3 linked regions of the Caenorhabditis elegans genome follow. The protein of the gene in region 2 interacts with the protein of the main gene of each other region in a pairwise test. Each region holds a gene or a part of one and is shown on either strand. Other genes may lie near its edges.

The links. The genes of interacting proteins can lie anywhere in the genome.
Region 1: the proteins of let-60 (region 2) and rgl-1 interact in a two-hybrid assay, tested with the Caenorhabditis elegans proteins (3 studies listed by BioGRID).
Region 3: the proteins of let-60 (region 2) and frm-8 interact in a two-hybrid assay, tested with the Caenorhabditis elegans proteins (3 studies listed by BioGRID).

What each region holds. Positions count from the first base shown.
Region 1 is NC_003284.9:3,216,836-3,222,112, reverse strand, and holds the start of rgl-1 (Ral guanine nucleotide dissociation stimulator-like 1), read left to right. Parts: upstream 1-1,819; coding exon 1,820-1,924; intron 1,925-5,277.
Region 2 is NC_003282.8:11,687,560-11,693,306, reverse strand, and holds let-60 (Ras protein let-60), read left to right. Parts: upstream 1-2,218; 5' UTR 2,219-2,229; coding exon 2,230-2,358; intron 2,359-3,053; coding exon 3,054-3,248; intron 3,249-3,305; coding exon 3,306-3,476; intron 3,477-4,201; coding exon 4,202-4,261; 3' UTR 4,262-5,080; downstream 5,081-5,747. Other genes in the region: ZK792.5 (Nucleolar protein 9), read left to right, coding at 5,190-5,480. UniProt on the Caenorhabditis elegans protein: GTP-binding protein with GTPase activity. The level of let-60 controls the switch between vulval and hypodermal cell fates during C.elegans vulval induction. May stimulate the guanine nucleotide exchange factor (GEF) activity of rap-1.
Region 3 is NC_003281.10:3,215,693-3,220,740, forward strand, and holds the start of frm-8 (FERM and PDZ domain-containing protein 4), read right to left. Parts: upstream 3,459-5,048; 5' UTR 3,452-3,458; coding exon 3,337-3,451; intron 694-3,336; coding exon 591-693; intron 1-590.

The sequences.
Region 1 (5,277 bases), on a different chromosome or scaffold from region 2:
CGGGACCCAAAAAACATTGCTAGCAGCTTGATTATCGTTTTCTTATATAAAATTTTGATCTTCCAATAATTGCGACTTTTCAAGAGATAATTTTTTTTCAAAATCCAGGAAGGCACAATTCGAACGGCCGTGTTCGAAGTAGTATCTAGCGGGACGGTGACCTTGCGAATGAATTTCCTACATTGCATCAACCTCATTCCACTGTCTTTTCCTTTTTCAATCAATCTTCTCCCAATTTTTTTTCTGCTACTACATTCTCTCTATCCATTTTCAACTAATTTTACATATATTGTTTTCTCCAACCGTCTAACAAAATCAAAGGTTTTTCTAGCCGTCTCGTCGGTACTTTTTGGGATGTATTCAACCTGTTTTTACTTTTAAACAGCTTTCATTTTCCTCGTTGTGGGAAAATTGACGCCATGGGAAATAATGACGTTCAGTTGATTTTTGTTATATTTTCTGGATTATATGTTTTCAAATCAAATAACTGTAGTGATTTGTTTAAAAAAATTTTAAACTTTTCATTAAACTGTTAGATTCCAAGAAGTAAAGAAGTATTGTTATTTTTCTTCCCATCTCTTATTGTATCTTTCGTTTTTTTTCTTCATTATTCTTTTCGTCACCATTTTTTTGCCCCCGTTTTCCAGTCTCTTTTCCGAAAAACTACCACACCCTTAATATTTCTCCGTTTTCTGTGAAACTCTGCAGTATTAGTTTCCGAGTTTTTTTTTGTGTCGTTCCAGAATCCGCATCTCTTTTCCAATCTCATTTCGGATGATGTTTCATTTTTTTCCGTTTGGTCGGCACCGTTACCTCTCATTTCCATATTCGTTTACCTTTGTCATCACATTCCATTTATCATTTCTTCGTTTCCCTTTTGTGTCTTTTGGAAAAGCCAAAACTGTTCGAGAATCTGTACTTTTGAGAACGACATAAACGCTTTTGAACTGAGAAAATTCTTGAATTTTGTGAAGAGACTTCATTTATTTTTTTATTTCCTTTGCTCACAAGCAGTGACATAATTTTTTTTATTTCAAAGAAAATTTTTTTCTTAAGCATATGATTTCAGAAACCTATACAAGTATAGTTTGCTCAGTTAAGAAAGTCTCAGAAATTGGCAATGTGTTGTAAAAGTGGCTTTTGGTTTTGATTCACAAAATAAATCTTGTCACTGTAAGGGAAGATTTCCTTCCGCATCCATTCACAGTGTACACAGATAATGCCGTCAGATATAAACGCTTGGCAGAATATAGACGAGGCTTTTGTCATTCGATGTTCAGTTTAGCTTTGTTTTAGTCTTAGAAATTGGTTTAAGGTTTCGTTTTTTTAAATACTGAATTTTCTCTATTAATTTTGCCCCTTATTGTTCAACTTTTACAGCCAAAATCGCATTTTTTGTTATTCTAATACAAAAATTGTCATCCTGACGAAAAATACGTTTTTCCTATAGGGTAATTTCTCCAAGCGATTTTTTTTTGACTGTGGGTTTCACATTTCCTATTGAAAATTTTTTAAAAATAATTACAGATTTGTTAACTCAATTTCTTGCACATTGAATAGTTATTGTTTCCTTCCTTCTGTTTTTTAATTAATTCAAACTCGAAAAGCTTCCTATTTCAGTTTAAGTACTTAATTTCTGATTCCTGAATGTGTTTATCAAAACTTGCAGTTTGTTTATAACTTTTGCAAATTCTTTTTGAGTTTTCAATACCTTCCTTCAATTGCAACATTTTCTATATTTTCAGGGCATGACGGGTTGAATAGAATCAACAGGATCAGTGAGAGAAACCATCGTCAGAAGAACTCAGACCAATCTTAAATGGCTACGCGTTACTGGGGTGACGAAAAACACCCGGACGCAATATATGCTGTATATTTACGTAAGGTTCGATATGTGCCGCCACAAGGATACGAAGGTGTTCCGGTATGTACATTTCACTGCTGCTTTTCAGGAAGAAAAATACTACATACATATATACACACACACACAAAAAACATTTTTCTTGACGCTAGTAGGCTTGGCCCAATAAAATGAAATTGGAATGGAAGAACGTATATGCTTTGTGATCACAATCTTGCATTTCGAAGTAGTCCAGATGGTTGTAAGATACAGTTTCTCGACCCATTTCACGGGGGGTGAATTGTTCTTTTTCCCATTCATACCTTTTCCGTCTTCCGACCACATCACCTTATTTCCTGTCCCCCACAGATTGTCTTATCGCATATTGTTTTTGCAAACCTAAACATTGCCGCAGATATGAGACTCAGGAAAACCAGCGTTTTTACGGTAACTTTTTAGAATCTTTTTAGGTATTTCTAAAATATTTTCAAAAGTGCTATGCATTGGGTGATTACAAAATTGGTCATTTGGTAAAACTTTTCTTTCTGTGATTTTGCATTGATCCAAAATTTGTTAATCCTCCTTTTCCCCTTTTTCCTATAGATGAAGCTGAGTGCCACTTATTTTTTTCCGTTCTTCGCGAATTCTTCTCACATTTCTGGAACTCTGGAACATTCTACGTATTATTCACAATTCTCAAAATCACATGAAAACTCAGAAAAAGTTTTGAAACATGGCAAAAGCTTGTGAATCCTGTGGCCATAGAAAATAAAACATTTGCCACATATAACATAGTGACGAATATTTGACACGCGACCACTGAGCTCCAGTTTCGTTGCTAGAATTACGAAAGGATGAACGTTTGGAGCAGTCTTAGGCTTCATTCCTATAGTCTTGATTTTGAAGACAGATGCTCAAAATTTGCTCATTATATTAGCTCGGTAAGCATTTTTTCGAGGAATTGGATATGAAAAAATTGTTTTTCTGAATTTGTTTAAAGTTCCCAGTGATAATTTGCGATTTTTGATAATATTAAAACTCTGGAAATAGAGCTTTCAAGTAAGTTTAAAGCAAAAAAATTGTTTTTTTTCAAGTTTAACCTAGTTCTAGGAATACCCAATTTTTATATTTTAAGTCATACGAATATATTGTATTTTGATTTAGTTTTGCATTTAAAAAAATACTAAGGCATTTGCATTTAATCTTGGACAAATTAACTAGTTTTTGGATTTTAAAAAAATTTTGAATAAAGGGTAGAATAATACATGCTTTTGAATTTTCAAATTTGCCTAATAAAAACGGCGCAGATTTTACATAACAACTAGTTTATTGAAAACTATTTGTTAGCTTTTTTAGCTTTTTTTTTTTAATTGCTAAATAAGTTACTAATTCAGTAAGATCAACTTTACTTATTATATATCCCTACAATATAGATATTTGTTCAATTGTAGCATCTTATTTATCAGTACTTGATGTCAGAGCAAGTTGGTCTTATCGCGGTTTTTTTTCGACCAACTATATGACTCATTGCGCAATCAGTAACTTTTGGGTGTCCACCGGAAAGCGCCTTTCCCAAACAATGCTCTTATTGTTCCAAAAAAAAATTATCAACATATGTGTTGCTTTCTCCTAATTCATTTTTTAAATCAGATAATACACTCCGCCGGAGCGCGTTATCTGTCCTTCCAACACCAAAAAATGTGTCTATCCTCATTACGTCTTGTTTTTGCTTTGGCAAAGCCTCGTTTTCTCTCTCTCTTTCGCTCTTATTTCAGTCGGTCTCTCTCTCTTTTCCGCTTGAATACGATCCGTCTTATCACTTTCTATTTGCCATTTTGATATCGAATGAGAAGGAGGCAGAAGAAGGAGCGAAGGAAGGCAAGAAATCGAGAGATTGTAACGTTTGTAGCAGATGTTAGACGTTGGAAAAAAGGTGGCTGGGTAACGCGTACTTCTAACTATTTTCGCCCCCACTCACAACCGAGGTCTTCCTCTCCATTTCCAATTCTGGGCCCCCCGTGTCCTCCGTCAACTGTCGGGCAGCCGCCGCCGCCGCCGCCAACAGTAAATCTCATCGGTTTCAATTCGGAAAAGGAATTGGCGGAGAAGAAGGCGAAGTGAAACGAAGCGACATCTAGAACTCCCCATACCTCACTCCCTCACAATAACCTCTTCGGAATCGAGGGCGACCGTCATAAAGCCATCTTTTCTATCCGAACACTTAGAGTAACAAACAAATACCATGACGACACGTACTTTTGCCCGCTTTTTGTCATCTGCCGGTTATTCACCGTCTGCCAAGATGCGCTCGTCATCTATTCAACAACTCTATATTATCATGACGGTAAGTACGTTATTCTTCTTCTTATTCTTATTCTTCCCATTTTTTCTTCCTACTTTTCAATTGTTTTTTATATTAGCTTTCTTCCGTTGCATATCTCTTTACTTTTCCCGTCAGCTAGAATATTTTTCACCAAGCACATCAACACATCTGTTTACGTTTCACATCTGTGATTTTGAATTCATTCTTGGTGCCAGATATTCCGTACCAGGTGGGTGATTTTGTCACGCTTTTTCACAATTCTACTCGTTCGGTTGTACAGAAGGAGGTTTATGAACAGCTGGATTACTGGTTTTACTGCTTGTTGACCTAGATTAAAGGTGCACTTTTACCATTTCAACCACCCATATATGTTGGACAGCTTTTATTCATCATGTGGGCTTTTACAATTTCTAGAGCACTTTGTATATGTTTTGATTCTTGCTCCACTTTTCATCATTATCTGTCCTGTTCCTCTTCCTCGTTTCTCTTCTTGTCATTTAGTTCAACTCAATCATCTGTCACTATCGATATAAATTACACGAGAGAGGCAGTTCTCCTCGCTAATGCTAATTCTAATTTTCATTTTCGTATTTCCCGCTACTACTACCACCACCACCACAAAGTCTCCTCGCCAAAACCAATGAAACGTTTCTTTGTGACACACACAAAAAAAAATAATGTTCGTGCGTCAGTGAGATTTGGTGTTCCGACGACGACAGGTTTGTTGAAAACTTTGCACGCACATACATACACACCATTAGACTGTTCCATGATCTGATCTTGTCAGCCGTTCGGATAATGTTCTTGAGACATCATGCATAACTGTTTCCAGAAATGTATGTAATCGTTTTGTATGATGACTGACTGAATGACTAAATGAAGGCAGTAAAAATGGAGATGGCTAGGAAGACATCAATTTATCAAATACTAATTTAGATTCTCAGAAAGCATATATATTGCAAACATTTGTTCCATCAATCAAGATTCTCCAGTGAAATGAATCACTATTGGATTTGCATGTGTTTCTTCAGGAGGATATTTCGCAATCTCAAAAGCAACTTCGAACTTTTTGAATAGGTCCCTACAGAAAATTTACCGGCTCTCTGAGCAAGAA
Region 2 (5,747 bases):
GTTGAAAACTAACCGTTTCGAAAATTCAATAATGAAATATCTGTTTTCAGGTTTTCATTTCCTCTAGTTGCTCATTTCAATATATTTTAATATCAAATTCTACTGGAAAGTATGTGTCATTTCTTGTTGACACCACTATTTTCAAACTAAATAAATACCACGATAATTATATATTTTGCAAAAATTGTTCAAAAAGTATCAAGTTTTCTCGTTCTTGGCATATTTCATGCAATTTGTAATTCTTTTTGTCTCAGTTATGTCATAACTTTTTCTAAAAATCCTAAGTTATTCTAGATTATTTGGGAGCAAACATTTTTAGAAATTCCCAAAGTAGATTAACAAAGAAAATTCAAATATAAATCTACTGGACATTCAAAGAAAAGCACTTAGACAATTTGAATCGAATTCCTCAAATTCTTGAACTATTTTTTAGAGGATTTCAATTGGACAGAAAGAATCTCAAGCACTTAACGTCGGCGGAAATAGTTTTTTTTTTTCAAAAAGAGACCACCGCCTTTGCTAGAAACGAAAATTGCATGCGTTCCATTAAATAATTCAATTCATCGTTATCACCATCCTTCGTCGTCGTCGTTATCGTCAGAAACAGATAGGGATGGGTCGATACAAAAAGAAAGTGGACAGTTCTTTTCTCTCACTCTTTTTCTCTTTTACAAATCACACTTGTTTCGTCTCACACACGCTCACTTCTTGTCTCTTCTCCCAACAGTCGTCGCAAAACCGTCAAAAGCGTAGCGGCTGTCGCGTCGCGGTCGTTCGTGTCTATGCATCACCGTTTCTAGTGCTCTCTAATTGTCCCGCCGTAGCAGTAGCAGCAGTAGCAGCGGCATGGTGGGGACCGCACTCCTTTATCTTTTACTCTTACTTTGTGTGTGTGTATGGGGGGTGCGAGAGAAAGAGATAAAAAAGAAAGAAAGAGAGAGTGTGTGGTTTCTGTGCTTCTGTGCACTCCAGAGCCTCGGATTTCTTTTCCTATGAACTTCATTTCTCGTCTCCATCATCAGAAGGAAGAAGAATTCTTCAGAATCTTGCACTTGAAGCGTTTTCTGCCTATTTATTTTCTCCTCCCGAGTTCATCTCTCTATTCGTCTTTAGCTTAATCCATTTTATTAGGCACGCACCCGCTCCTTGGTTCAACCAAATGAGAAGATAGAAAAGATGGAGCAACGCATCCCAAATTGTGTGATAGGATTAAAGTAGTGTGGAAGAAAAAAAAATGCAGAGTGAGAGAAGGGGCAGTCTTCTTTTCCGGTCTTACTAATCCTAACGTCTTCTTTTTCCTTCCTATCTCTCATCTCTCAACTTCTGAAATAGTTGAGATGAGTGATTTCGTAAGTTCATTATTCTTTTTTGTCAGTTTTTGCTTATAGTTCCTACGGGAATCATTGTTTCTTAAACATGCTACTTCTTTAAACAATTTATATTTAACAAAGTAAAATTGAACGTTTTTTTAAAAACTTTCTAACTGAATTTCGTAAATTTATTTGTTTCCTTGTGAAAAATGCTTGTCAGGAAAACTTTACTTCTCTACGTCTCAATCTCTGCAATCTTTTAACGAGAGATCGGAGAATTTTGTATTGGAAAAGTGAAAAAGAAAAATGAAAGAGACCCACTCGACACTGAGGGCGACCGAAAAGAAACCGACGAAAAAAAACGACGATTCGAGCCATTTGTCAGCGACAATAAGTGGTCGGGTCGCACCACTGTCCGCCGTCTCACCGATTTTAACATTATATTGTCCCCCTTTTTCTTCATCGCTTTGAAATCAATTTTTGATGAAGTGAAGACCTTTTTTCTCCTGGTTTTTTTTTTAATAATTGCATTACCCCATTTTTTAAAGTTCAAAATTACTCAAACTATTTGAATTCTTCTTTTTTTCAAATTGTAATGACTCATTCTCCGTCGTCTTCAAATAGTTACTCATTCCGACTCACCACCTAGTTTATTAACAGGAAAGTTCATTCTTTTTCTATCTTCTCAATTATTCTCAAGTAGTCATCATCGGTTTTTTATTTCTTTCCTGGTAGTTACTCTCCTTTATCGAAACTTTTTTTTGAAAAAAAAAAGAAACGGAATTCTGAGTATGCCGATAGGCAGAGCTGCTCTTTGGCAGTGCTCCCACAGAAATCCTTCTCCACTTCGTTTTCTCATTTCCATCTCTATTTTACATTTTTCCATATTCAACTATGCGTCTTTTTTCAGAAAAGGGTAATGACGGAGTACAAGCTTGTGGTAGTTGGAGATGGAGGAGTTGGTAAATCAGCACTCACCATTCAACTCATCCAGAATCACTTTGTCGAAGAATACGACCCGACCATAGAGGACAGCTACAGAAAGCAGGTGAGAAATCATTGGGAACATCCGCTACACACATGTGGTGGGAGCAAATTGAACGAAAATGATGGCATTTGAAATTGAACAAAAAAACGATGAGTCAGAAGTTTGGAAGTTTTTTGAAACACATCGAGCTGTTTAATTGATTCCAAAGACGAATAAATCGTGCTGAAACACGAAAAATTCCGAAATTTTCGAAAAAAAACCAATTTTTCGTGTTTTGGACACGACATTATAAAATGGCTGGAACTGAAAAAAATGGCTCGAATCATGATTTTTCATTGTCCCCCGAAAATTCTCACAAAAAAAAATTGGAAAACCGAAAATTTTAGTTTTTGCAAAAACCGGAAAAATTCTGAAAACACTCCAAAATCGATATTTCTCAGACGAATTTCAATAATTACATTCCGTTTTACGTTTTATACAAAAAACAGAAATTTCACTTTTTTTTTGAGAAAGGGCCCAAAACTTTTTTTTAGATTTTTTGTTTTTTTAAAGCAAATCGATAAACCAGCATGCCTGCTCGTGTCGTGTGAGGAGTATAAATTTTTTTAAACGTATATTCATCTTTAAACTCTGAAATTCAGAATATTATTGAGCCCTAATTTTCAGTGTTTTCATTTGAGTTTTTAACCAGTAAAAATAGTTTTTCAGTTTTAAAAATTGCTCCGAGAGCTAGTTTTTAAATATTCTAATTTCAGGTTGTGATAGACGGTGAGACATGCCTCCTCGACATATTGGATACCGCCGGACAAGAAGAATATTCGGCGATGCGTGATCAGTACATGAGGACAGGCGAAGGATTTCTGTTGGTTTTCGCCGTCAACGAGGCTAAATCTTTCGAGAATGTCGCTAACTACCGCGAGCAGATTCGGAGGGTAAAGGATTCAGATGATGTGAGTTTTTTTTGTTGAAATTATCAGTCAATGGTTGAATATTTGTATTTCTTCTAGGTTCCTATGGTCTTGGTAGGGAATAAATGTGATTTGTCATCTCGATCAGTCGACTTCCGAACAGTCAGTGAGACAGCAAAGGGTTACGGTATTCCGAATGTCGACACATCTGCCAAAACGCGTATGGGAGTTGATGAAGCATTTTACACACTTGTTAGAGAAATTCGCAAGGTAATTTTTTAGTTAAAAATTTAAATTAAAAATAATGTTTTTAATGTACAATTAAGGTACAAATTCAGTCATTATTATATGAAAATTGAAAGACGCGAGATTTTGATATTTTCGCGCCAAAAATACGACACCCGGTCTGTTCGATTTGCTCCTTCAAATATTATGGTAACTTTATACTGTCGTTACAGCGGAATTTTCATCAATTTTTTTAAGTTTTCGATATTATAAAAATATTTAAAAACACAGCAGTTTTAATAAATCGGTGAAAATTACCCCAGAAACGAAATATTAAAGTTACTGTATTCTTTAAAGGCGCACATACGTTTGCATTTAACACAAATTCATCGTGTCGAGACCGGGCACCGCATCTTTAATTTGAAAATCGCCAAATGTTGCATTTGAGTAATACAAAAACGTTGTTTTTAAAAATTTTCTGTTTTGTAAAGCTCTAAAATGTTATTATTGTTATCAACAGTTTCAAGTTTCCATTTTTCACTAAAAACGAAAAATGTAAGTTTTTCCGATATTTCGAAACAAAAGCTCAAAGTTTTGGTCATTTTCTTAATTTTTAAAGAAAATTATATGTTTTCTTTTGTTTTTTTTCTCACCAGCATGCACAAAATCTGATAAAAAATTGAGTTTTATTGTTAATTTTCTAAAAAAAATTTTGATGACACCCTAGATTGATATCCGAAAGATTTAATAATGTTTTCTTTTTATTTCAGCATCGTGAGCGTCACGACAATAATAAGCCACAAAAGAAGAAGAAGTGTCAAATAATGTGATTCAGCGTCGGGAATTGCCCAATTTCGCCAACTCATTTTCAGTCGTGTCAACTCCCACCCAATTATCCTTTCTCGTACTTTTTTGGTACATTTTCATTATTCATTTATCTGTTTTATCTGAAACTTGTGATCGATCCTCTTCCGCCTCTACATACTCTTCGAATTTCCACCTTTTTTTCTCTATGCATCGATTGAACTTGTTCTCTCGTCTGCTCGTCATTATTTTTTCTCCTTTTTTTTCTTCATCCTTCATTCTAATTCCTCATCTTTCGCTTAGCCCAAATCTCCATTCATTCATAGGTGTCAAAACTAGCTGTAGTGTGTGATCCATATCTAAAACATGCATCCGAACCCCCTCCTCGTTCCAAAATTGGCCAACTCTACCAAAAAAAACATCGCACCATTTTTTTTTCACTTTCTCTGCATATTTTCAGAATGTTTGTATTGCTTTTTTGATGCTTTATTCCCCTTCCTCGTTTTCATACAAATTATTGGCCTCATCTATTTTCAGAAGTTCTCTGAAAATTAAATTCTTTTGCATCTGCCGGTCGTTCCGTTTATTTTTTCTCTGTTTCCTCTCATTTTTGTCAAGTAATTATTTCTCTTTCATTAACTATAATATAGATACAATTAGACCCCATTTCTCATACATTTTCTGAACATCTGAAAGTTTTTGCTCCCTCGTATTGCATTCATTTTTCTCTATTCCTCTACATTTTATAGTCCTATCTGAATATAATATTCCTATTCTTTTGATCAAGTTTTTATTATTATTTTATTTTCAAGGAAGTATTGCAATGATATAAATTTTAAAAAGCTAATATTATTTTTTTAAATCTATTCAACTATATTTTGTTAATTTCAGTGTTATATTTTGACCTCGCCATCGGAGCATGATTTTAAAAAAAACTAAATTTAATTTATTAGAATGACGAGAAAAAGGAAAAATGTAGAGTCTGATGAGAATCCTCCAGCGAAAAACTCATTTGAAGGATACGGATATGCTGCTGCTGATGCTGAGAAGAAGCCACAGGAGGAGAGAAACAATTTCAGAACTTTTCTAGCCAAAAATGAACGATTTGGAAGTGGAAATCGAGGTGGAGGAGGTCGTGGAAGAGGAGGAGATGGTGGATTTAGAAGAAATGATAGAGGTGGACGTGGTGGTGGTGGAAGAGGATTCGGTGGTAACAGAGAATTCAGTGCCGGAGATTTTGAGAAGGTTTGTGTCAGATGGTGTCGTGAGTGATGTAGCGTCTCTGGCTTTTTAAACTCAAAATTACAGAAAAAGTTTCGATATGTCGAGTTAAAAACATTTCTAAAATTTGTATTATTTTGCAAAAAATAAAAAAAAGCCGAATTATTTTTGAATTTTTTAGTCATTTTCCTGGACAAAAATTGTTCAAAATGTGGAATTATAGGTTTTAGACCAATTTCATTTTATCGAATTTCGTTCGGATTTTCGAGGTTTCTTTCCGAAAAACTGTCT
Region 3 (5,048 bases), on a different chromosome or scaffold from region 2:
GTTTTTTTCGAAATTTTCAAAAATTCATAACTTTGCTCAAAATTGTCTCAGGAGCCTGATTTTTAATTTATTTTTAAAATAAACGTTTATTTTTTTAGAAACTAAAAAAAGTTTTAAGGTTTACCTAAAAATCTAACTTTTGACAAAATTTGAAAAAAATTGTTTTTTGAAAGTTTTCCAAAAACGAATTTTCCAAATTTTTTTCCCCAATTTTCAATTTTTCGTATATTAAATTTACGAACCCCTTTTATACTTTTTCAACTATTATTTATAAAACATTCCCGTATTTAATTTCAAATAAAAAATTCTCCAATTGACGCACATCTTTCTACATTTCGCTTGAATAATTCAGGAGATGTACCCGTTTTTTCTCAGAATTCCAAATTTCCAATTGTTTGTTTTTTTGCACAAATAAAGCGCAAGAATATACACTTATTCGTTAAAAATTTAATGAAATTAGAAAAAATCGAAAAAAGTGTTTTTTCAAAATTTTTTTTCCACAGTATTTTCTTTTTTTAAAAGTTGTCATAAAATCCCAGAAAACACTAATTTGATCAATTTTACCAAAAAAATCCGAAAAAAAAACTCACTGAATATAAAAAATGCGTCCATTGTCCAGAACACACAGGTCACACTCCTCAACCAGGCTTGGGTTCATCGAGTGGTACTGTACTTGGTCGGATATTGCGTCTTCTAAAATAAATATCATAGGATTGGAAAATTTATTAAAAAAGAGTTAAAATCATGATTTTTGGTGGAAAAATGAAGAAAATCGGATGAAAATGAACCAAGTTACGAAAAATTTGAGGAAAATTTGAAATTTTTAGATTTTCCCAAAAAATTTTTTCAGATTTTTTTAGTGTTAATAGTCTAACTTTAAAATTCGAGTTCCTTACATTAGGACCTTTCAAATGGCCCCCATCATGCCTAGGTTCCGCACACTTTGGGTCCCACCACGAAAACTACGGTACCTTTGAGTTTTCGCGCCGGGGCCCAAAAAGGGGCGGATCCTAGGCATGATGGGGGTCATTTTTAAGGTCTTGGCAAAACTAGGAATGAACAGTAAGTAGGAGCATAATTTCAAAAATCGTTGTCTGAAAACTTTGAATTTTCTTTTAAAAAACCTAGTTTTTCGAATATTTTCGAAAATTGATAAATTTGTCACTTTTTATTATTTTTTGACGATTATTGGCTCAAAATGTGGGAAATTTTTCCAAATTAACAAAAAAAATTAGAAGTCCTAAAATTTAATTTGGGTGCAGTAACCCGGAAGTTTTCGCGGCGAGACCCAGGAATTTTGAAATTTGGGTTAGAATGGTCTAATTTTCTTGCAAAAAAAAAGAATTTTGCCAATTTTTTTTATAAAAAATATATTGTCCAGGTTTACTTAGAACTCACAAAACTTGAAATTTGAAATATTTTCAAAAGAAAACATTTTTTCGAGTTTTATTTTCATGTATTTATTTTTCACTCCTAAACCTACAAAAAAGAGCAGTTAAAGCTTCCAGAAAGCTTAAGCTCACGAAAATGAAAGTGAGAGCAAAAAGATGGGAATGTGTGGAAATAAAGATCACACGAGCAAAAAAAAAAACGAAGTAATGTGAGTGCAGAAAATGGGAATACGGCGCCTCGGGCGCCGTTTTTTTTCAGAATTTTTTATTAGAAAAGTAGTTTATAAAGTTTATGGATCAAGCTTTGCAGATTCTGGTGTTCAAAAATTATAAAAATTCAAATTTTTAGAAAATTTTGGAAAAAAAATTTAAATTCTAAAAAATTGTTTGCTTCAATATATAGTCCTTAAAATTTCCTATATTTTGGTAGTTGGAAATTTTTTAATAGTACGTTCCTCCGCAGAGATACAAGCGTTTGAAGTTTAGAGGGGAAAAGAGTGTGGGAGGGGGAGAGACGCAGGCGGCGCGCGCACACACGGCGTCTCGCCTCCCCTCACACTCTCTCATCGTCTGATTTTCAAACGCGTATATCTCCGCGGGGGAAAGCGCTAATGAAAAGTTTTTGACTAACAAAATATAGGAAATTTTATGGGCTATATTTTGACAGCCAAAACAATTTTGCTAGATCATTTGGGTCTTGAGAAAATCAGTTTTTCTTCAAGAATGGCTAGAAAAGTACAAAATTTGATTTTAAAAAAGTGTGAGCTGGTTCAAACTGGTGAAAATTTGAACATTTTTCAACTGTAAAAGTTGTCAAATATATTTAATCTGAATTGAAACCTGGTGTTAGTATAAAAATAAACAACATTTCGTATAGTTTGGGGATTTCCACAGATTATGTCTACCGATGGTCTTGTACCGGAAAAACAAAAAATATAGTGATGTTACACAAAAATATTGTGAACTTAATAATAATTATAATAAGAATTTAGAGAGGAAAAAAGGAAAAATTGGAAATCGGTCACTGAACTTGATATTGATGATCTATAGAATATCATCAATGATGAGATTTGATAACAGTTTTGATAAGGGTTCAGATGTACCAAAACACTGCAAAAACTGATACATTTTGATATGGGGAAAATTGGAAAATTTTTGAAAAAAAACAATTTTGAATTAAAAAGAAAAAATTTTTTTTCTTCGAAATTTAGAAATTTCATTTTTTGTTGTTGTTGCAAACTCGAAATAATTGAGTTGAAACTTAAATTTTCAAATTTTTCGTTCCAAGATCTTCAAAATGACCCCCATCATGCCTAGGATCCGCCCCTTTTTGGGCCCCGGCGCGAAAACTCAAAGGTACCGTAGTTTTCGTGGTGGGACCCAAAGTGTGCGGAACCTAGGCATGATGGGGGCCATTTGAAAGGTCCTAATGTAAGGAACTCGAATTTTAAAGTTAGACTATTAGAAGATCTTCAAAATGACCCCCATCATGCCTAGGTTCCGCCCACTTTGGGTCCCACAACGAAAACTACAGTACCCCAATTTCGCTGTGAGACCCAAAATAGGCGGAGCCTAGTCATGATGGGGGTCATTTTGACGGTTTCAAAAAGATCAAATTCATAAAATCGGTCGGAAGTGAATTTGAACATTAGTTTTATGAAAATTTTAAGTTTTCCAAAAAAAAAAATTTCGAAATTTTCGACTTTTTCGAAAACCGCTAACTTTGTCAATTTTTATTACTTTTTGATGGTTTTTTGTTCAAAATGTAGCAGAAGTTGCAATTTAACAAAAGAAAATAATAAACTTTAAAAGTATTGTTCTGGTACAGTAACCCAGAGATTTTCGCGGTGAGACCCCAAAATTTTCATATTTGGCTTAAAATGCCCCATTTTTCTCCGATTGTTCTCAAATTTTCAAATTTACCGCCACAAAAAAATAAGCTCACCGTCATCTAGAGTAGTCGAAAAGGTAACCCTCTCTTCCTGTGTATCATTTGAACCATGCCGGAGTATTTGAGCACTGGAGCCATCCGATGATGAAGTGGTCTCCAGGTCACCCATATTTTGGCTGAAATTGGGGGAATTGTAGAAAAGTGGAGTGGAATTAAAAAAAAAAAAGGAATAGAAAGAAGGTTAGGAAAAAATTATGGATGCAAAAAAATTTCTGATAAAAAAATTGCAAAAAAAAGTTTGTAAAAATGTTTTTAAAAAAAAATGTTTTTTTTCAAATTTTCAAAACCTTAAAATTTTTAAAAATCTTAGTAAATTTGAATTTTTAGGTATATCTACCAAAATTTTTTAAATGCGGAAAAGTTTTAGGGTTTACAGAAAAAAAATCATAAAAACAAACAAAAAATTATAGAAATCACAGGAAAAAATCTGAAATTTTCCGGGTTTTAAGCTGCAAAATAATTAAACAATTGATATAAAAACTACGGAATTAAATTAGAACAACTAAATAAAAAAAATAGAATAGAGATTTTCTGAAAAAAAATTTTTTTTTGGATTTTTTTTTGGATTTTTTTTTGACTTTACAAAGAACTTTGGATTATATTTTTTTAATTTTTTTATACATTTTTTTCAATTTATACACTTATATGTTTAATTTTGCATAAATCAATAGAACAACATTTTTTAAGAATGGTAAAAAATTTTGGATTTTTTTTTTTGAAAATTCCAAAAAAAATTTTTGGATTCTTTTTTTTGCAAAATTCCAAAAAAATTGGAATTTTTTTGGAATTTGTAAATTTTGTGATAATTTTAAGGTTAATAAGTTCTCTAATTTAAAATTAACGCTCAAATTATCACCATAAAAATTGGAAAAAATCCTGAATGAAAGTATTTAATTTTGAAAAAAAAAATTGTTTTCGACTTTTTATTTTGGAATTTAAAAAAATTAAATTATTAATTTTTTTCAATTTATAATATTCACAATAGTTACCTTTATTAATAAAACAACAATAGAAAACAGGAATAAATCTGAATAAAGTTTTTTCTGAAATATTTTCTCTCTGAATTTATTATTTTAAAAATTATTTTTTAAAACAAAATTTATAAAATGTATAAATTTAATAGAGTTAGAAGCAATAAATTGACGAAAAATCGTGAAAATTCAAAAAAAAATTTAGACCGAAAATATTTATGAAAATTAGATTACAAATTTTTTAGAATATTTCAGAATAAAAATTAAAAAACCAAATTTTTTCAACAAAAAATTCCAGAATGTCAAATAAGGAATGTGTTCCATCAAACAAAGTAGAAAAAAACAGCTCAAAACAAAAAAGGACCTGTCTTCCACTGTCTGCGTCTCTCTCACTCTCTCCCTCCCTCACTTAGTTAATCAGACATCCCAAACTCGGGAGGCGTCCAAAGAAAACGAAGACGGCAGCAGTGTGAGCTATTCAGAAGAAATCCTCTGCGTCTCTCGCCTCACCACACACTCTCTCGCCGCTTCTAACCCTCTCTGTCTCCCCGGCTCGCGGAGCCAAACCCAACGGAGCACAAAAGATGCATTGGAAGAATGGAGGAAAGGACAGGATGAAGAAGAAGAAGTAAAGTTACTCTTACTTCTTTGGATTTTTCAAGAAACACGTGTAACGGAACAATAGAGGGCACCTGCATAGCTAACAATTTGCGTCATTACTTTTGCTATTGTTGG